Linked DNA regions of Drosophila melanogaster. The protein of the gene in region 1 purifies or fractionates together with the protein of each later gene. This does not show direct contact. Each region holds a gene or a part of one and is shown on either strand. Other genes may lie near its edges.

Region 1 (5,136 bases):
CCAGAGTTGAAGCTGCTCATTTCCAGTGCCACTCTGGATGCGGAAAAGTTCTCCGCGTTCTTCGATGATGCACCCATCTTTCGGATACCTGGTCGCCGCTATCCAGTGGACATATTCTACACCAAGGCTCCGGAAGCGGACTACATCGACGCGTGTTGCGTTTCAGTTTTGCAGATTCATGCCACTCAACCTTTGGGCGACATTCTAGTCTTCCTCACGGGTCAGGATGAGATCGAGACTTGCCAGGAGGTTCTGCATGATCGCGTAAAGCGGCTGGGCTCCAAAATACGTGAGCTGATCGTTATACCCGTCTATGCGAATCTACCGAGTGATATGCAGGCCAAAATCTTCGAACCCACACCGCCGAATGCCCGAAAAGTTATCCTGGCCACAAATATCGCAGAGACTTCGCTAACCATCGACAACATCATTTATGTAATTGATCCTGGGTTTGCCAAGCAGAACAATTTTAATTCCCGCACTGGCATGGAGTCGCTTATGGTGGTGCCCATTTCCAAGGCCTCCGCCAATCAGCGAGCGGGCAGAGCGGGACGAACTGCTCCGGGAAAGTGCTTCCGTCTGTATACGGCGTGGGCATACAAGCATGAACTGGAGGACAATACCGTTCCGGAGATACAGCGTATTAATCTGGGCAATGCGGTGCTCATGCTAAAGGCTCTGGGCATCAATGATCTGATACACTTCGACTTTCTGGACCCTCCGCCGCACGAGACACTGGTATTGGCTTTGGAGCAGCTATATGCCCTGGGTGCACTTAATCACCATGGAGAGTTAACCAAGCTGGGTCGACGGATGGCCGAGTTTCCCGTGGATCCCATGATGGGCAAGATGCTGCTGGCAAGCGAAAAGTATGTAATCGATCTAACAAACCAGAAGTGAAATAATTCGTATAATATTCGTATATTTTTGTTTTAGATACAAATGCTCCGAGGAGATGGTGACCATTGCAGCCATGCTGTCCGTGAATAGCGCCATTTTCTACAGGCCCAAGGACAAAATCATTCACGCGGACACAGCCCGAAAAAACTTCAATCACATGCACGGCGACCACTTGAGCCTCCTGCAGGTCTACAATCAGTGGGCGGAGACGGACTACAGCACCCAGTGGTGCTACGAGAACTTCATCCAGTACAGATCGATGAAGCGGGCTCGCGACGTGCGGGAGCAGCTGGTGGGACTGATGCAGCGTGTCGAGATCGACATGGTCAGCTGCCTGCCAGAAACAGTAAACGTGCGCAAGGCAGCCACCGCTGGTTACTTTTACCATGTGGCGCGACTCTCGAAGGGCGGTCACTACAAGACCATCAAGCACAATCAGACCGTGATGATACATCCGAACTCCTCGCTCTTTGAGGAGCTGCCGCGCTGGGTGCTCTATCACGAGCTGGTGTTCACCTCCAAGGAGTACATGCGTCAGGTTATAGAGATCGAGAGCAAGTGGTTGCTGGAGGTGGCTCCGCACTACTACAAGGCCAAGGAGCTGGAGGATTCGACGAACAAGAAGATGCCAAAAGTCGCCGGGCGAGCCGAAATGGCGCAATAATTTTGAGGGGGTTTTTAGTTTTCAATTAATAATAAACTTTTATTGTAAATTTCACCATTTGTAGTTTGATATTGTAAACTGGCTTTGTTTATTATTATTCTTTTTAAATTTCGATAATCGATAATCTTAGGAAACAATCGAATACGATTCTTATTAGTACGTTTCGATATATGGCGGCCCCACCGACAGTTGTATTATCGATAACAGGCCGTGTGGTTGTATTTCGTGTTTTGCATTTCAAAGAGCAAAATTGCACAATAATTTAATTTAAGTGCAACCAAAAACCTTTAACAAGTGAGTCTATGAGCGAGCCGAGCTAACTGCGTTTGAAGACCAGGAAGAACAGGGGATAAAAACACGCAAACAGCACATTGTCATTAAACCATGACGTTCTAACCTAAAAACTGATGAAATTTCCAAGTCCAGTCGGCTTTCATTTACATATATAGTTTATAGAACAGTAACTAAATACATTACGTTTGTTTTATTCAAAGGATAATGGCTGCTCAGTTCTTTAATCGCATTGGCCAAATGGGCCTCGGAGTGGCCGTTTTGGGTGGCGTTGTCAATTCGGCATTATATAATGTGGAAGGCGGCCACCGGGCGGTCATCTTCGATCGCTTCACCGGCATCAAGGAGAACGTGGTCGGCGAGGGTACCCACTTCTTCATCCCATGGGTGCAGCGGCCCATCATCTTCGACATCCGGTCCCAGCCCCGCAACGTTCCTGTGATAACGGGCAGCAAGGATCTGCAGAATGTCAACATCACGCTCCGAATCCTGTACCGCCCCATTCCAGACCAGCTGCCCAAGATCTACACCATTCTCGGCCAGGACTACGACGAGCGTGTCCTGCCCTCCATCGCGCCTGAGGTGCTGAAGGCTGTGGTCGCCCAGTTCGACGCCGGCGAGCTGATCACCCAGCGTGAGGTGAGTAAAAACATCAGGAGAGCCCTCAGTTTCTTTAGGATAAAGCTTTTTTGATGGGCCTTGTGTTTCACCAGAGGCGCTTATGTTTACTTAGTATCAGGTCATCAGATCTCATCGTATTTCACGCGTATTTTATTTTCGATTTAAATTTGATTGTGTAAGCAAGAACGCGATCTCGGCGCTTAAGTCTAGGCTTATTGCTCTTTTGAGAATTGAAGCTTAAGAATTGGATTATTATTCAACTTATGCAGTCGGAAATATAATACTTTCATGCCCGTACTTAACGTGATTACCTCTTTGCAGATGGTGTCGCAGCGCGTTTCCCAGGAACTGACTGTACGTGCCAAGCAGTTCGGCTTTATTCTGGATGACATCTCGCTCACGCACTTGACCTTCGGTCGGGAGTTCACGCTGGCCGTCGAGATGAAGCAGGTGGCCCAGCAGGAGGCGGAGAAGGCGCGTTTTGTCGTGGAGAAGGCCGAGCAACAGAAGCTGGCGTCCATCATTTCGGCGGAGGGTGATGCCGAAGCCGCTGGCCTGTTGGCCAAGTCATTCGGCGAGGCCGGAGACGGTCTGGTGGAGCTGCGACGTATTGAGGCCGCCGAGGATATCGCCTACCAGCTATCCCGGTCCCGTGGTGTCGCCTACTTGCCCAGCGGACAGAGCACGCTGCTCAATCTGCCATCGACCATCGCGCAGTAGCTGGGTGCATCTAGTTCCGTTAAGTTGTAACTACCTATAGCATTTACTAAGTACTTTTCGATTTTGTTTCTGCTGAAATATGCACTACTCTAAAGCGTTCGCGCCCGACTGACTGGAGAATACTAAGCGAAACAACCAAAATTTGTCTCATGTAATCGGTTTTTCCATTATCTTCCCGATCGGGTTCGAAATCCGGTCGCAGTGTGCGCTCCGAATGCGGCTCAACTTTTGTTGTTTCCGTTTGAGTCGTTCGTGTGCGCGTCCTGCTGAATTGGTCCTTAAGATCGGCACCGGGCTTAAAACAACTCCAGTAATTGAAAGAAACACAGACCGTAAGAAAATTTCATTATGTGAACAAACAATAAATGATAATCCCTACATGAGTGGGCTTTTAAATTGAGTGTGGTTATGGTTATGCAGGAAATGTTATTTAATTTATGAACTTTTACTTTCTTTTTACTTTACTTTTACTTTCCCAATTAATTACAGATCGATCCTAAAACGAATCTAATCACTTGCCCATATCATATAGATTTAGACAAAATACGTGACCTATTGAAGCTCAGCGATGTGATGTGTACACCAAACACCCGCTCGCTTATCTCGGCCCTTGTTTACCCCATATGATGCCTGTTTATGCAATCCCCCTCTCAAAGGCGCCATTCGACCCCTATAAGCGGAGAATACTTTCGCATTCATTCGCAACTCAAGATGGTCATAAATCAAATTGTAGTATTCTTCGCCTCAATCGACCCGAACTCCAGCCACCCGTAAAGCAGCATAATGTGGGTGGGTAGTTGGGCGACTGGTGGCTGGTGGCTGTTGGCTGGCGTGTGGGTGGAGCACCCAGCGCATTAAAATCGAAAGCAGAGCCGTTGGCATGGCGTATAAATCTGTTGATTCAGCCAAGTGATTTGCCAAAGTGGCTTCGTTGAAATGTCAGGCACACGCACTTTGCTCGCACTCAGCAACAGTTGGACCACCCGCAGGATTCTCAGCAGCCCTACACTGAAAGAAATTATTTTCTTTTGTCGTAGGCTAAAAGTGTTTACTTGATTCTTTTAAATAGTAATTAAAGGAAGATAATGATTTTCCTGTCGTATTCCAATATCATTAGCCGAGCCGATATACCCATGTTTGTCTGTCCGTATAAACTTCGAGATTTTGGGAACTTTAAAAAAAAAAAACGGTCACGAAAACAGTTTTGAAAAATATTTTGAATTTTTGTATTATATCTCTCGATATATTTGGCATAAACATTTAAGCCACATATTTATTGTTTCTTGCCAATTTCTATTGATATTTCAACTGAATTTTGAAATTCCGGCCAAGTAACTGGCATCCAAAAGTCGTTAGCTTTCTATAGTAATTTTGAATTTTTCTCAGTGTATGCGGAACTGCCCGCTCAAAAGGCTCAACCTAGCCCACTTCCCCTAGCACAATGCGAAAGTGAGTGAGAGCATTGGATTATTTGACGTCACAATTCCATGAGCGGTTCAAAAAGCACGTCATATGTGGTGCTCTAATAACCGGTTTCCAAGATGCGCGTAAAGCGTGCCATTCCACGGCTTAATCAATTTCTTGTCTTTCCTACGAATATAACTTTGTTTACATTTTTTTGCGTGATTTTTTCTTCGGGGAGTCCAAGAAAAACCCTGTTTCGAGTGACTCATAATTGGGGGATTCCTGACGAGATCGCTCTCTTTCCACAAATTCGAGTTGGGAAGCACGTGAGTAGAATTCAAAATGTTTTGCTTGCTGTTTTAAATATCACTAGGTTCTCAAACTAATTTCAAAAATAATCAAATTAAGTTCACAGAGCTGGCAAATAAAATGTAATAGCTTGCATGTATGTATATATATATATTTTTTTAAATTCTAAATAAATCCATGGAAAATAAAGCCTTTGATATCCAGTTACTGATTCAGCGCCCAATTAA
Region 2 (4,090 bases), about 13 Mb from region 1:
CGAACTTCCTCCATGTAGAGCGCCTCCAGCGAGTCTGCGTGTGGGGGATTCACAGATCCGAATGGACGACCGCGCTTCCGTGGCACAGGGACGGGGGAGGCGCCAACGACGGCGTTGTTGGTGGTCGAAACTGGAGCTGCAGCCGGAACCGATGCCGATACCTGTGCGGGCACCGGCGCTGGCATGCCTCCGTTTGCGTTTGTGGCCACGCTGATGGTGTTATTGCTGCTATTGATATAGGCTACCGCCGTTATGGGCTGATGGTTGACGGTCGATGTGGCCGCAGTGCTAATAACGCTGTTGTTATTGAATTGAGCCGGCTGCTGCTGAAATTGCGACTCATAGTTTGTTTGGAACTGCTGCTGTTGTTGCTGCTGCTGCTGCAGTTGTTGCTGCTGCTGTGGCGTCTGCAGCTCGAGCAGCTGAGCCGGCTCGGCTGGGGAATACTGTTGCAACTGCTCCTGAAAGGGAATGGAGCGGTACTCATCGTCCTCGTACTCCTGCTTGACCACCTCGTCATACTGGTCCGTAAACAGCTCCGTGTTGAAGCTAACTCCGCCGCTGGTGTTGTTGTTGTGGCTGCTGCCGTGATTGCTATTGCTGCTGCTATTGTAATAGGTGGCAGTGCTTGGCTCACTGGCCAGTCCCAAGCCTTGCTGCTGCTGCTGCTGAACGGATTGCTGCTGTGGCTGCTGCTGCAACTGCTCTGCGGACGCATCATCCCGGGGCGGTGTCATGTCGCGGTTGTTGAGCAGCGCCTCTGGCGGCAGCGGATCGGCGTTCTTGGGCCTGTGCAGGTTCTTCAGGATGCGATTGATAATGTCGTACTTCTTCCAGCGCGTAGCATAGCTCGAAGGATCCGCCTGCAGCTGTTTTTTGACTTGCCTTAAAAGGGAAACCAGTCAGTTAATCCGGTATAGCAAAGTGTCTAAACGGTTACCTACCTGAACTTGGCCCTGGTCTGGTTGACCTTCATCTGGATCTCCTCGGGCTTCACGTCCACGGCGAACCGGTCGCGCAGTTCCTCGGCCCACCGGCCAAAGAAGATGGTGTTCTTGCCGGTGCGCGTCAGGCGCCAGTTGTCGCGTCCCCAGATCTCGTACAGGCGCTCCTCCTCGCTGGGCGTCCAGTAGCGACGCGCCTTCTCCTTGCCCCTGCCATCGAGCAGCTCCTGACCACCGCACATGCCTAAGTCCTGCTCGGCACCGCTGCCGCTTCCGCCCGCGTTCAACGCCAGCTTCTCGTAGTCCATCGACTGCTCTGCACCGGCTCCTGATCTGCTCCCGCAGATGTATCCCTGTAACGTTGCCTTTGGATATGCGATCTCCACTCTAGTTACACAATGCGACGCTGTGGTAGAATGGTTGAAGCCAAGTGCAGTTTTTCCGCACAAAAAATCAACAACAGCTCTGATACACAGAAGAGTGTGACCTTGCGGCGCGAGAACGCCGAAAATGCCTAGATTCCTGAGCGAATTTCCTGAAATAAGTAATATAATAAATTTCATTTAGTACCATATCAGTATCATGTATATACTACAGCTGGGAGAATGGCTTTGGGGCTAGTCCAATATTAAGAAATAAAATTATTAAGATATTAGATATATCTTTTCCAGATTTCAATAGCTCTATAAGAAAATTTAAATCATTGATGGTATTTTTTGGCGCCTGCCGCGCTCAAGCGTTATTGGTATTTCCACGCCTGGTCCTTGGTCACGTACGAAAATGTTTGGATTATAACGATTCCACAAAATTGAAATTAGACCGGAATATGAGCGGCCAGAAGCACCTGCGATTGCGCTACTACACGTCGCTGGAGGAGGCCATGCTACTGCGGCTGTGGCGCGAGCACCTGCATGCCATACCCTCCTACACGGACAACCTGCCCATTTTCCGGGAAATCGCGCACGGCCTGCAGCAGAACGGAGTTCGGCTCAATAAGCAGGAGGCTCGCCGGCGCATCAACAGCTACCGCAACAAGTATTTGTGAGGCGCAGCAGCGGCTCGGGTCAGTTCACAGTGCTAATATCTCCTTCCACTTCTCTGCAGGAACGATCGCAATCGCGTGGGGGGCAATGCGAACTTCGCGAAGGATTGGCGTCTCTACGCGCTGATCGATTGCCTCTTCTGTCCTGCCTGGCCGTCGTCCGCCCTCTTCCATTTCCGCAATGTGCTGGAGACGATCCGTGCGACAGCACGTGTGGATTTGCCCGCCCTGCCGCCACTGCTATACACTTCGCCCGCCCAGCTAAAATTTGAGCGCGACTCAGAGGGATGCACCTTCCTCGATGCCCAGCCCCTAGTTCCCGCAGTAGTGAAGACAGAGCCTCTGCCAGACGAACACCACCAGCTGGTGAATATTGAATACAAGCCCACAGTGACGCAGCTGGAAAACGCGGCTAGCCACTACCTGGAGAGAGCTACTGCCGAAAGTGTCATTCAGCGGTCGCCTCTCACGCCTGCCAACCACATCCTGCCCGAGGCAGAGGATGCGCCATATGGAGGCCACACCAACGGTGGCCAGACGGACGCCGAACGTTCGGCGAGCAAAAGGAGACGAGGGCGACGTAGTATACTGCCGCACTCGGGCAAGATCACAATGGCAATAGTGGAGGCGCTGCGCAAGGAGAACAGTTTGCTCGAGCAGCAGAACGACGCCTGTCTGCAGTCGCTCGTGCGCAAGGAGAAGCAGTTCCTGGACATGAAACATAACTTTCTGGCGTATATGGAGCGGCAGGAGGCAGTGCTGGCGTTAATAAAGCAAACGACCATCAAGCTGGAACCATGATCCCGACTACTAGCACCACGTGGTAAGGACATTGTATGACAGCTTTAGCTTTAAGTTGGGAATAGAGTCGCGGCGCTCGACCCTGTGTATGTTTTTCAATTCGTTCCTTTCTCAGACACAGATGTCTAATTCACTCGACGTACAAAGCAGCAGCATAGCGAACCGAAGATATTATAATTTCTCAAACGTTCTTTTTCTAGCGTCATAAGTGTAATGTGTATGAACAATCGTCTGTGCAAAAGATCAATCTATACGGTCTTTAGTCTTAAATTAAAAACATTGTCTTGAGGCGAACTTGTATGGTAGCTACATTTTTAAAAAAAAAACTAAAACTAAACAACTGGCTAAAAAATAAATTAGATGAAAGACTATTATACTATATATATATACTATACTATATAGACTATACTATTATTTCTATTGTTACAGAATATCTTGTTGATATAATAGTAACGAAATCAAACATAAATTCAAATGAAATCAGTGTGAATAGCCTATTAAGTTTTGCATTTCGATCAACTTAGCGTGTGCAACAACCGCCGGTTATTTGTTCATCAACCCCTGCTGCAGCAGTGTGGCCGTAGCCGGAATGTGAAAATATCCGCAAACACCGCATGCGGACCTCTCTTAGTCGCTCTCTTAGCGCACAATGCGCTCTCTGCCAACCGAAATGCCACAGACTTTTTGTAGGCTTTTCCACTTTTTCGATTTCGAGACTTCGAGCGAAACGGTCGTGTTTTTCGCGTGTGTGCGGGTGGCGGACGCGCGTGCCAATCGGAAAAGGCCTTTAAATCAAATGAGTGGCTCGCCAAAGGAGCGCATCAAGGTGTGTGCGATTGTATCGAGTGTGTGTGCTTGTGCGGTGCGGAGAAAGCCAGCCAGCCGCCAGTCTGGGATAAAAATAAAGATTAAGATTGGGATAAAACAAACGAACGGCAGCGAAGTGCACAAATTGCCGTGGAATCGGGGCTAAAGAAGGAAAAACAAGTGTGCAGCACACACGGATTGAAATGTTTGCCAATGTGTGCGAGCGTCACCTAAATAAACAACAAAAAATTCGATTTGCAGCAAAGAGAGCGAGCGAGTGAGAGAGCGCGAGAGTGGGAGGCTGTTATTGTTGTTGCTGCTGTTGCCGCCGCTGCATGTGGCATGCCCGAAAATCCCAATCACAATCAGCTGAGCCCTGCCGCGCCTCTCCCTACCTCACCCCCCGCACCCATACGCCTTCTCACACTGTTTGTTGGCCAGTGTAAAAGTTTCTCGTTCTGTTTTGCGTGTCTCCTCCGTTTCTCTTTCTCCAGGG
Region 3 (5,982 bases), on another chromosome or scaffold:
CCGCAATTAGTCAGTCATATGTATACAAATTTATGAGGCCCCAGCTACGTGCCCCATTCGCGTTCTTTTGCCAGCGACCGTATGCGGGCACCATTTTCTACCCGACTCCAATAATTAAGTGCAATAAAAGGCAATTAAAAGTCAGCTTAATTAACCCAAACAACAAATAATATGCAAAATAAGCCGGCTTAGCGTTAAATAATCATGCTGGAAATTGAATAACTTTTGGGCGTAGCGCAGAGTCCTTGGAATTGTGTCGAAAGTTGTATATATTTAATAATGAAACATTTCTGGGAAATGTGTGAAAATGGAACTTTGCTGCGTATTGTTAAATATTTTTTCTTTATATGTGGTCGAGATTTCATTCTTGATGCACTTGTGTTTATTTGTAATCTAATATAGGAAAGTAAGTAATCTTAAATGCTGATTTTTGTTAAAATCGTTGCTTCATTGATATTTCAATAAACATACAAAACCAATAAGATAGTATTCGACTTTTGTAAAGGATCAGAATGCAGGTTGTTTATAAGAGCATACACAACCACAAATCGATCGAAAAACTTTCAATCGTCAGCAGGCGTGGACCTCCTGCGGTTTTGTGGACAAACATTACAAAGGTATTACATGCTCCAGTGGAAAAAAAAAGAATGAAAACAAAAAACGAAAAACAGTTGTCCAGGGTCAGTTGCAAATGGATTTTTAAACGGTCGGACAACCGCAAAGAGATGCCTTGAGTAAAGAAACTGGTCGAGGAGGCAAGACAGCGTGAAATTATAAGTAAGTTTTCTAGCACGCACATGATATTCGAATACTGAAAGGTAGACCGATCACGCATAACGGATCTTTTAATTAGGGCCATAAACGCGGGCCAGGGAATCAATCAAAGCGCATCGACCAACGATCCAAATCGATTGCCAAACAGTCGCGAAAGATCAACAAACCTGATTCTCAACCACCCTTGGTCTCTCCTCCTGACGACTTTTCGTTTTTCTACCCATCGTGCGGATTGCGTTTCAGTTGGCCATAAAGGCAGGGAATCGATCCGCCGATCGGTTCGCTAATTATGCGAAATTATTGATTATTGCGGGCTTTTCACTAAACCGCCAAATTGCGTGTACGTGCGTCGGCCCGACGACCTTGACAGTTAACTCGATCGCATTTACCTGAAAACCTGGTCAAAACTAAAGGCGTTGGGAAGAAGGAACACGACCTGTATATCTAGACAAAATTAAACCATCAAATTGATCGCATTGCTTTCAAGCCTTGGCAGTTATTGCATAGTTCTCAATAAAATAGGGTACAATATTATAACAGCAATATATTTCGTATATTGTGGCACTTAATTTGATAGAGTTAATTAGGAAGCAATATAATTATATAAAGGTTTTAAATAGGATAACCTTATTAACCAATTCGTTTTGAGCAAACCAGTAAAGCACAAGTAAACTTATGCCCGCACAACAATTATAATGTAAGAAGACGTCAAACCTGTTGAAAAATGCTGAAATTCCAGTGCGATAATAACATAGCCCTCGAGCTAAATTCAAATTACGCGCCCTGCCCGCTGGCGCCCCCTACCGCCTGCGGTGCTAAGCTACGACGCCCATTTCAACCGCCCGGGGGCGCTAGTCGGCATGCAACCCTGCGCGTCAACAGCTGACCGGCCTATACCCATCTCGCTCGCTCTCTTTCCTTCCACGCCGTCAGCCGCAAAAAACAGCGGACGCTTAAATTTTCGTAAATATTTGTAAATAACAGGGGCTTAAGTTCATTTGGCAATAACTAACCTTAACTCCCATCCACAGCTGGAGCTGAGTTCAGTGGACAGCATCCACGCGTTTAGTGAGCTAGGTGAGCTAGCAGCCGGCAATGTGAGGTTATGTCCGGCAGCATATAAAAATAGTTGACATCTAAATGCATATACATATATGTATTTACATACCTGATTAATCGGATATATGTAACTAACGACTTGCCATATCACCGCAGATCAACGAAGATGCCGCCCAAGAAGCACGACGAACCGGAGCGCAAGCCGCTGATCGGCAGAATTGGAACGAATCTGAGAATCGGTATCGTTGGCGTTCCCAACGTGGGCAAGTCCACTTTTTTCAACGTTCTGACCCAAAGTGCCGCCCCCGCGGAGAACTTCCCCTTCTGCACCATCAAGCCGAATGAGAATAAGTATTCCCCAACACACACATATATATATATTTATATATATATATATCTTTACATACATATATCTGGCCAATTACCAGGCGAACCTGCGGGCGGTGGCAATTTCCTCGATCATTGTAATCATCTCGTGGAATATAATTTTTATGCCGGCGATGCAGCAATGGCCTCCAGGAGCAACCGCCGCCGCTTCTAATTCCAAATTGCTCTCTCGACTGGACCTTCTAAAATAGCCACAGTGCAGCCTCGATAGGTAACACAAATCTCTGAGATTCGCAGCTAAGTGGGGGATTCAATGTGTCAGGAACTTAGATCTAAACACTATGCTATGGCTAGTATACCTTCTGGTTATTAACCATTTTATCATAGAAATAGTCTTCAATTGTAGATAATTCCAAATGTTAAAGCACGAAAACTTCAATTTTAGCAAACTTCAAGCTATAAGCATTTGATCTTATAGATTATCCTTACTATGTATCTCATACAGAGTGTTCTCATGTTTCCATTCCTTTTGGACTACAGAAGTAACAGATAGTTTCGCACACTTAACTCTATAAATTAGTTAAGAAACCATATTTGTATTCATTTAAGGCACCTTTAAAAGTTGAGCTAACCATGCTTCACTGTCCTTCGCGTTGTGGGCGTGTCGCGGCCTTAGCAATTTTATCAGATCCAGTTCCCAATATGCAAATTGCCCCCGCCTTCGGTTCGTTTCGGTTTCATTTTCCTGCGCTTTTTATTTGTGAGCGACTTCATTTTGGTTTCGCTGCCCCTTTGCGGATGGCGCAAAATTATAGAAAATTGCCATGATTGGCCGCCGATGCTGCCGGGCTACCAAGCCAGTCAGTCAGTCAATCGTTTTTGTTTTTTCATATTCTTGTATTTTTGGATTTCTGCATTTCTGCGTCCAGCCAAGTCATCCCGACTAACATGCGTCTTACCTCTTCTTTTCATCTGCTCCTGCTGATGCTGCCGCCGATGGCTTTTGCCTTACCCACACGTCGTGTTCCGGTGCCCGATGAGCGTTTCGATTACCTGGTGGAGTACCACAAGCCGGCCAGGTGAGTTGGAGCATACAAATCCATTGCATTTTAGTTTTCCATTGCTTGTAACAAAAAAAAACATATACCTGCATCACGAAACGCATTTAAAACGCGTAACAAGTTTCGGGACTTGCTATTTTCGTTATTTGCTTGCCATTTGCTTGTTAAGTTTAATAGAAAAGTTCTGCACAATCGAAAGTAATAAGTATTTAAAAAAAAAAAACTAGTGTGGTTCCTGCCTATTTGAACGTCGTGGACATTGCTGGCTTGGTGAAGGGAGCCGCCGAGGGTCAGGGACTTGGCAACGACTTCCTCTCGCACATCAGCGCCTGCGATGCCATTTTCCACTTGTGCCGCGCCTTCGAGGATCCGGATGTGACCCACGTGGAGGGCGAGGTGGATCCGGTGCGCGATCTGGAGATCATCTCCGAGGAGCTGCGCCTCAAGGACGAGGAGAATCTGCTCAAGAACTTGGACAAACTGGAGAAGGTGGTGGCCCGCGGCGGCGACAAGAAGCTCAAGCCCGAATACGATTCGATGCTTAAGATTAAGGATATCCTTATCGATCAGAAGCGTCATCTGCGCTTCGAGGACTGGAATGCCCATGATGTAAGTACGAAAACAATCCACATCCGCTGGGTGGCACTAACGCTTATTGTTATTCCTTTCTACTTAAAAACAAGGGGATATCCATAAAATATTGTATTGTAAATTTGTTTATTAAGAATGCATTTGTATTCGTGTTTCATTCATTGTTGTTATTATCGTCTTTATTTGTTTGCCAACAAAACAGCGAAATCTGTGGTTTTTTTTCGTGTGACCTTGTGATTTTCCCTCCCGTTCTTATTGACGCCACCACTACTTTGCTCTTTCAGATTGAGGCCTTGAACAAGTATCTGTTCCTGACCTCCAAACCGGTCATCTACCTGGTGAACCTTTCGGACAAGGACTTCATCCGCAAGAAGAACAAGTGGCTGCCGAAGATCAAGGAATGGATCGACAAGAACGATCCCGGAGCACTGCTCATTCCCTTCTCCGGCGCCTTCGAGCACCAGCTGACCGAAAAGGACGAACTGGAGCGCAAGGCCTACGAGACGGAGACCAAGTGCAAAAGTATGCTGGAGAAGATCGTTGTGACCGGCTACAAGGGACTGCAGCTGGAGTACTTCTTCACCGCCGGGCCGGATGAAGTGAAGGCCTGGACCATCCAGAAGGGCACCAAGGCTCCCCAGGCTGCCGGACGCATTCACACCGACTTCGAGAAGGGCTTCATTATGGCCGAGGTGATGCACTTCGAGGACTTCAAGGCGGAGGGCAGTGAGGCGAATGCCAAGGCCGCTGGCAAATATCGCCAACAGGGACGCAACTACACCGTCGAGGATGGCGACATCATATTCTTTAAGTTCAACGCCGGCGCTGGCCTCAAGGATGCCAAGAAGAAATGATACCGTTTGGCCATGATCATCGCCATGTCCACCGTTTTGTACATTAACTTGATCTTGTACTCCCAGATGTTTCGCTTCGCCAGAGGCTAGCTCCTCATTATCACATCCCTCACTCTCATGTTCGAGGCCTGAAAATGCATTTTGAATTTCCTTTTTTTTTGTACGCTATGTAAACACGCTTATGACACACAATCTCAGTCGTTGTTTGTTATGGTAACAGGCGGGTTAACTGGAGCACCATTTGAATCCGCAGTGATACTTGAATATTCTATAAGAATTTACCTATGTATCTTTGTGGCTATATGATCATTTGTCATGGGATTGAGATTTTTAAACATGCAAGTAATAAAATCAGGTTGTAGATTTGGCAAGTACTAGTATTGTGTTGCTATCCCTTTGCTCCTAGCTAGCAACAAACAATAAGAAATGACATATCCCTTGTCAGGCATTGACATTGTGGTAACCGAAGTCTCGGATTTCTATTGCTGAGCCGTGGCAAAACTTTTTAATCATGCTGGCAAAGTTGCTGTTGGAAACACCTGTGCAAACCTCTTTGCCACCAGAGCCAACAGGAAAAGCGGCCAAGTGCAAGGAGCTGTGCCACAAAGACTCAAAAGGAGGGAGCAGGGGCTGTGCTGTGCGCTGGTTGCTCTGTGCAAATGCAGCTGCATCCAGTACACAAAGGATCGGGTGGTTGAGGTAGCTGGCTGGTTGCCTGGTTGGTTGGCTGGTTGGCTGGTTCCACTGACTCTGGTCGCAGCGGCAACTTGCTAAGCACATAATTTGGTTTACCGCATTGCCAAACATGCGCCGCCAGAAACACGCACATTCCCCCTAAATCCCAATCTCAAACCCTTTTTCGGTTGCTTCTGGGTTCTGTTAATCTTTGCCAAAAGAAACTTTTCTTGTGCACCGTGTGACGAGCTCGAAATGTGGAGCATAATTCAAAAGTCTGCAATGAAAGTAAGGAAAAGTTTCAAAAATGTTCTATACATTTTGGGATTATGGTTTTGAGTGCAAGAAGAATGCCTCAAAATATTCAAATATTATCTTATAAAGGACCTGATTCATAGTTCAAGACTTTTTTTTACTACCAACTCATTAAAAATTATACATATAAGTGCAGTTATTTTTTAGCTATTTTTTAAATAAATTTTATAAACTATTTTTTGTTTTTTGATATTGTTTAACCCACAGTGCCACTGTGCGCAACTGCATTGCATCCTTGTGTGTTGGCTGCAAAAGTTTTTTGCGTGAGCTCGACAACTTTTCATATGAAATGTGCAAAATTACACACTCCTCCGGTCCAAGAAACG

The links. Proteins that work in one complex are often made in the same cells at the same time.
Region 2: the proteins of Phb1 (region 1) and CG14005 purify together in Drosophila melanogaster (affinity purification with mass spectrometry, with the first as the bait; one large-scale study listed by BioGRID). This does not show direct contact.
Region 3: the proteins of Phb1 (region 1) and CG1354 purify together in Drosophila melanogaster (affinity purification with mass spectrometry, with the first as the bait; one large-scale study listed by BioGRID). This does not show direct contact.

What each region holds. Positions count from the first base shown.
Region 1 is NT_033779.5:19,120,479-19,125,614, reverse strand, and holds Phb1 (prohibitin 1), read left to right. Parts: upstream 1-1,745; 5' UTR 1,746-1,858; intron 1,859-1,961; exon of another isoform or gene 1,962-2,058; 5' UTR 2,059-2,062; coding exon 2,063-2,494; intron 2,495-2,797; coding exon 2,798-3,196; 3' UTR 3,197-4,270; downstream 4,271-5,136. Other genes in the region: l(2)37Cb (lethal (2) 37Cb), read left to right, coding at 1-869, 937-1,564. UniProt on the Drosophila melanogaster protein: Required for larval metabolism or for the progression of the larva into a pupa.
Region 2 is NT_033779.5:5,799,567-5,803,656, reverse strand, and holds CG14005 (uncharacterized protein), read left to right. Parts: upstream 1-1,681; 5' UTR 1,682-1,770; coding exon 1,771-1,985; intron 1,986-2,048; coding exon 2,049-2,787; 3' UTR 2,788-3,140; downstream 3,141-4,090. Other genes in the region: CG7239 (uncharacterized protein), read right to left, coding at 1-885, 945-1,252.
Region 3 is NC_004354.4:9,777,063-9,783,044, forward strand, and holds CG1354 (uncharacterized protein), read left to right. Parts: upstream 1-1,679; 5' UTR 1,680-1,747; intron 1,748-1,805; 5' UTR 1,806-1,851; exon of another isoform or gene 1,852-1,871; intron 1,872-1,895; exon of another isoform or gene 1,896-1,989; 5' UTR 1,990-1,999; coding exon 2,000-2,180; intron 2,181-3,124; exon of another isoform or gene 3,125-3,144; coding exon of another isoform or gene 3,145-3,178; coding exon 3,179-3,239; intron 3,240-3,448; coding exon 3,449-3,830; intron 3,831-4,096; coding exon 4,097-4,666; coding exon of another isoform or gene 4,667-4,756; 3' UTR 4,757-5,032; downstream 5,033-5,982.